2 linked regions of the Neodiprion lecontei genome follow. The main gene of each other region encodes a partner of the protein of the gene in region 2 in a complex. Links are inferred from orthologs where the notes say so. Each region holds a gene or a part of one and is shown on either strand. Other genes may lie near its edges. The genes, in order: huntingtin-interacting protein K and probable N-acetyltransferase san.

Region 1 (3,732 bases), on a different chromosome or scaffold from region 2:
GAATTTGAAGGGTCTGATTATTCATACATTTTTTATCCTTGTATCTCTTTCAGGAATCATCTTTATTGAACGTATGAAAAAAGATTATTAACAACTACTTTATTTCTGATTATAGTATTGAACAAGCAATCGTGAGCATACAATTCGTTTTCCATTCAATTATAGCAGATGCCGTAACTATATCAAGCCCTAGTAGTTAAGCTCATTTACTTAAATAACAGAGTCCTTTGTGTCATTGATGAAATTTTCTTGTGTTGATTACAGGCCATACATGTAAGTGGTCGTTTCAAAGCTGGATTATGATAACTACGATAATCTGACGTGTGGATTTAGTAGTCGCTATATACATTTTTTATCACTGTTTGGTAATTTCAGCGATTTTAATTGCGATGAAAAAAGCAATTGGCATTGTTTATTGAATTAAATTTGATATTTTTTTTTCCAACACAAATAATTAGGTGCCGTATCATTTCACAATTTGACAATTTTCGAGTATGTGTAAATCATGATAGCAATAGAATTTTTATAATGTTGCAGTTGGCTTTTGAAAGACAAGATCAACGACAATGCAAGAAAGAATGTAATCTTGAGGCAAATTACTGGTTTCTCCATTTGTAAAGTAAGCTGAGGGCGACGATTTTGGAATTTTCATTCGGCATAATTTCCTCACAATTATAGTGTAAGGAGAAATGGAATTGAAACGTTTCGATGGAACATTGATCAAAGAATAACACCAGATTTGGTACAATCTTATACGTTAACAAAGAAAGAAGATAAAGATGACAAGTTTGATTCGAGTGGATGAAAAATTATAAGAAGTTTGTGGATTTATGTATTTTTTTAAAGTTTTTATTTTATATTAATAATAAATATTCGTATTCAAACTTCAGTTTACAAGTTCCTCCCTCGTTTTCTATGTAAATATATACGTTGCGTAATTTACAATAGTGCTTGGAATAATGAGAAGCTAATATTTTCATAGATAATCTCAACTCAGTTGGTCAGAGTAACAAGGGCCTCAACAACATCTCCTCTGTGCTCTCTTAATGTCCGTTCAGCCAAGCTTCGACTTATTTCCATCTCTTTCATCTGAAATATCCAAACAACTACTGTAAAAATTCTTACTACAATTGGTAGGGTTCACTGTAAAAAGTACACCAACGAGAATCCCTACAAATAAAAATACATACTATCAAAGATGGGAGTAGTAAATAATATATAGTGTAACAGTGAATTGCGATCTCCAGAGGAGGTTTCAAATGTGTAATAGTATTCTATTTATCGAGAATGACAAATTTATAAATAACTGGAGTATAAGATTTCTTTGAAGCATATTTCTTCACCTCATGCCACAGGTTATAAATTAATTAATTGCTCTACTACCATAGTTTTGATTGAGACTGTTTGTAATGGGTTTTAATCTGTTGTGTATGACACTTGAAACTTGCGAATCAGGAAGTAAGGATGTGTCTGAAGTAGATGAAAGATTTATTTTGATAGAAGTATACATTGCGACGTTGCACAGAGACTTGAGGTTAATATTTTTGCTAAGATTGTAGTTTACCTATCAAATTGTATCCCCTCAAACAGTTACAAACTGTTCCAGTGAAAAAATTTACAATGATTATTCTTCAAATACTTACGATAAGATCCACATCGTCTTTATGAATGGAGACCTTGAGCAATTCTTTCTCTTTAGCAATTTTTTCAGCTGCTTCCTTATTCCGTCGATCTCCGATGATGGTTAGCGCCTAAGTTAAGACAATGACGATTATCATTACACTGGTGCATAGCGAAGAATTGAAGATAGGTTAGGTTCCATTTAGACACTTTTGAATGGCGTGAGAAATTTGTCGAATCTTTGAAACGAATAACAACTTAGCATTTGAATTAATACGAGGAAAATGGAACAATTTGATGAGGGAATTTATTTGTAACTCAAAACAATGCGTGTATGAAATATGACGATGATTATGGTATAAATGAATGGTTCAGATAGTGTGGTGCACGTGGATTGAACTTACGCATGAGAAATCGTCTGACGAAGAAATTTCCTTCTCCTCTGCGTAATCCGTTACTCTTTCCAAATCCGCAGCACCACTATCATATTTTGCAGCTTTCTTTTGTGACTTTTCCTGCTGCACCTCGTCAGAATCCCCATTCACATCTTCGTCCGCCATTGTCGAACACAGATTGTGGATTTTTGTATAGCACTAGCGTTGATTGGAGATGTATAAAGTTTGCTATCCTTATGGGGCTTTCCGTGAGCGCAAATGGACGAGACAAATTCATCGTAAATTCATCGTCAAGCAGCGCCCTCTGCGTTGCGCAACTAAAGTAGGCGAACTGTCGGTACGTATAGTCTTTAAGGCCGAAAAGACTAATGTTACCGTCACGTGTATCCAGAAAGATAATGCATTGTCGGATAAGTCTAGCTATTTCGAATTCAGGCGTTGACTGAAGAACATAAAGACGGATACCCCTGGATAAATTTTTGTGACCAGTTTTCGGCGGGCAAGTGGGTCCAGGTGGGCCTGGGAGCCTACCTAGAGGAGTTCTGCTCTATCGACTCTCTCTAACGAGCTTGCACTGACATTCGTAGTAGCAAAGAAGTTTCGGTATCAAGGCTTCAGATTGAGTCAGTACAAAGTGAGTACGTAAGACTTCTTGTCGACTGCGACTTAGAAATGTCGATCAGCTCGATTATACCCGTGGGAAGAAGCGTAACCGCGTCCGCCAGCAACCACCCCCAATCACCATCAACCTCCGCCGATCATCTCCGACCAACTTCATCCTCCTTGTTCACCTTGTACCCCTCCGCCTCCTGCTCGGGCCACTCGACGTCGCGTCGTCCTGGTCCTCCTCGACCACCTCCGATCGCTGCCGACCGCCGCCAAACACCTCCTACGTTGGCTGAAAAATATAAAGACAGTTGTACTTAATAGGATTTGGTGTGACAACCGAAAATCGTCGTGCGCTCTCTCTGAGATGTTCCAACGGTAGAGTTGAGAACTTATTGCAAAACATCAGAGAGGTACCGATTTCGAAAACAGTGATTTAATTACAGTATAGGTACCCGAGAGAAGAATGGATACATAGATCATGAATAATAATAGATCAGATGTAATAATGATGCAGAGACCAGAAAGTATATATGTATATGCGGTCCATGTACGATATTAATCTGTATGATCCCTTTACGATTAATACGTGACGCATACTATAAATTTGATAATTTTTCAGGAGGCAAACTAGATTATCTACAATAATACGTCTATGATATGAAAATAGAAGAAATATTCATTTCGAAATGGGATTCTATTCGACCCGCGCTCGATGTATTCCATAATATTAATATTGATAATCATTCCAAAAACTTTTCATTTGCTCTCTCGATCTTAAATTATCGTGGGCATAAAATCGAAACGCTATTTTAGCTAGTCGCAAGTGAAGTATCTACGTCAGGAAGAGAAGCAGAATTGTTTTTTAAAAAGTGTTCGTATGGAAAAACATTCAGAGTAACTGTAATACATCACGGATACGCTAATTTCAATCGAGATGAAATGGATGCTCCGTATATGAAACAGTATTTAACACGGTGTCCTGATTTAAAGACCTAAGAGGGTGATTGTCGACGATTTTTTTTTTTTTTTTTTGATAGGGAAAGACCGAACGAAGCTTCTTAAAACTTCAAGTGTATTTTAACACACATTTGGAAGGTACGAATAAAAT
Region 2 (2,838 bases):
TATTCTAATGAGCGATCTATTTCTATACATGAATTTAGTCAATTTAGTTGTATTCCAAAATACGGTCATAAGCCGTACAGGACAGGTGAGATTCCAAAATATATGTAAGATCAAGCAGCTACACAATAATTCAAGGTGAAATCTCTTTGAAGTACTTATTATGCTGGGAATGTATATTGAAGTTTTCCAGAAATAATTCATGTGTTATTGGTGATAAGTAACAAATACGTGACGATGCTATATTTATATTACGAACCGGTGAAAGTTACGTGAATTGAAGAATTTCTCCCTACCAGAGTTGAATTTTATCTATGTTGTAACAGATGTAATTGAAAAATTATGAAGCTAACTAAATTTATCTATGTTGTACACTAACCAAACAATAAATGTTCGAGTTTTTTTAGTAAACACCTAGATCGTGTTCAATTTTCAGTGTTGACACTGTTTGTATGTGGTTCAATTCGAATTGAAATTGATTAGAACTGTCCATTTTATTACTAGTGCTAAATTTTTCACGATAGGTTATACAAAAATTGGATATAAGGAACAATTTTTATTGACAATTTGTACAGCAGATAACATTATACGATGAAAACAGATGATGGAAGATTGATACATGAAGAGAATTTATTCATTGACTTGCTGATTGATTTTGATGATTAGCTGTTGTTGGCGGGCGCAAAGTTTTTTGTAACACATGTGCGTCTGCAGGTTCGATACGTTTGTAGTAATGTTTTTTCGTTTCAACAACTTCAAAGCCGAACTTTTTGTAGAAATCAATAGCCCCCTCGTTGTTAACTTGTACGTGGCTGATCAAAAGCAGAAGCAACACGTTAATAAAAGAACTTCATGCGCTCAGTTCAATTTAGACTATGTGTGGAGATTTTGTAAATTAAATAAGTAACTCAAATAACTTACAGGAATATCGAGTCAAAATTCCCGTCTTTAGAGACATAATTAAGTACATGTTGTACCATAACAGTGCCGATCCCCAGTCGTCTATAAGGGTACAAACATCCCAAAGTCATTATATACAAACGGCGCGAGTTCTCTGAGGTATCTACACGACAACACACAGCCCCTACCTGAAATTAGTGTTTGAAGATAAACTGTTTGAAAATATTTATGCTAGTGACATCCGAACTGTTTCATACGTAAATCTGTGTAGCTGGGATTGGAATACCACATGTGTGAAAGGAGACTAAATTTTGCTTGTCAGGGATATATAATTATCTATGAGTCGAATTAAATAACATACCACAATGTCATTATAGTAAGCGAGTTTAGCCAGCTCGCCAGCCTCCAAGACGTCTTTGTAGAATTTCTCGTTATACGAGACAGGAAATACGACTTGATTAAGCAGTTTCAATTGCTTTATGTTGTGGGGTGTAACATCCCCCAATTCTATCTTTGATCTGTGCGTTGATAAAGGAAAATAATTATTGCTATATAGTTGCAAGGTATAATGGGCAAAAATATTTTTAAATACAATTCGTCGAGCATGCAGCAACGGTCGGCAGTCTAACCTCAAATTTGGGACACACGGTTACTCACCTTGTCATTATACGTTAATAGATATTCACCTATCTCAAAATAAATAAATTTCTACAAATAAATGCGTGAAAACGCTAGTCAGGTAAGGTACTGTAGTCGTCAATAAATAATATTCAGATCAAAATGAGCGATTCGTGCGGTACTTCGAATCCCTCCGAAAATTTCGTCTGCAGTCGGAGCTAGGTGAAGGTGGTAAAGATACGAATAGGCGGGATAGGGTTAGTGGACGCCCTGTGAAGATATCTACAAGCAGTATCAGTCAGCAAAGTAGAACACCCCTCATGTCGACGTACCGACAGTCAAAATTGCGATGTTCTTTTTTTTTTTATTTTGCCGCTCAACCGCTAGCACAAGCGTGATTCTGCAGCGGCTGCCTTCAGGTAACTCACGGAATTCTGGGAAGATGAGAAGTTCGAACGTGCTTCGGTCGCGTGCTGAATGTCGAATTTGTGCGAATTTCTGCTTAGTGTGAGGATTTTTTTTGTCATTAACCCGGTTTGTGAGGCTGGCATTGTGAACTGATCGTCAAATAAACAGTTCAAAGTCACCAAGAGGATCGTTTCAGTGAAGTATGCCTGCGACCGGATTTTCTAACGCTGAACAAATGACGATAGCAATTCGACTGTTACGTACTTCAACTGTATGACTAAATTGGTGAAATATTTTCGGTGAATTCATAGAAAAATCATCCGATGCTATTCACTTCAGGACGTTCCATTTTTATTTCGTCGCGTTTATTTCGGGTACGAGAAGTGATATACGATCGCTACAACAAAATGCATAGGTATGTCTAATAGTGTCGTAGATATTTAATATTTGTGCCGATGTGATGAGTTTTTTGTTATTCTGTTGCGTAGTTCATTTCTTAGTGCATCAAAAGTTACTGAAATATTACGAAGAAAAAGTTTTTTTTTGACACGGACAGTCTTTAGTGACGTAAAAACTGTCGCGTGTGTAATGAGTGTGGGTAAAATTCTACTATTTCCTTATAACAGCCTAATTAGAAGTGTGTTACCATTCAACCTGAACAGCTACTACGAGAACTACTACATTCAAAGTATGGAGCAACCTGGAGAAAGTAAGAATACTTAGGGTGATAATTTTTTAATAACTCAAAATAGTCCCTTTGAAACCGAATTTTTGTCCTTGAATAACATGCGGTGAATAAATATGGAAATAGACAACAGTGATAATTAATTAGAGTAGTGAAAATCTCCAGCTTACATGTACGTCGGCACTGTTTGCTAAATTAACTCGAGTTTTGTTTTTTGTCGTTTCCAGAGT

Evidence for each region.
Region 1: probable N-acetyltransferase san (region 2) and huntingtin-interacting protein K share a complex: the UniProt entries of both Homo sapiens proteins name them as parts of the N-terminal acetyltransferase E (NatE)/HYPK complex. The link is inferred for Neodiprion lecontei from reciprocal best matches to the Homo sapiens genes NAA50 and HYPK.

Annotation. Positions count from the first base shown.
Region 1 is NC_060263.1:7,160,747-7,164,478, forward strand, and holds huntingtin-interacting protein K, read right to left. Parts: upstream 2,283-3,732; 5' UTR 2,181-2,282; coding exon 2,025-2,180; intron 1,752-2,024; coding exon 1,644-1,751; intron 1,090-1,643; coding exon 994-1,089; 3' UTR 828-993; downstream 1-827. Other genes in the region: uncharacterized protein LOC124293900, read right to left, coding at 2,774-2,913. UniProt on the Homo sapiens protein: Component of several N-terminal acetyltransferase complexes. Inhibits the N-terminal acetylation activity of the N-terminal acetyltransferase NAA10-NAA15 complex (also called the NatA complex).
Region 2 is NC_060265.1:27,202,286-27,205,123, forward strand, and holds probable N-acetyltransferase san, read right to left. Parts: upstream 1,772-2,838; 5' UTR 1,563-1,771; coding exon 1,555-1,562; intron 1,416-1,554; coding exon 1,259-1,415; intron 1,086-1,258; coding exon 919-1,085; intron 810-918; coding exon 632-809; 3' UTR 534-631; downstream 1-533. UniProt on the Homo sapiens protein: N-alpha-acetyltransferase that acetylates the N-terminus of proteins that retain their initiating methionine. Has a broad substrate specificity: able to acetylate the initiator methionine of most peptides, except for those with a proline in second position.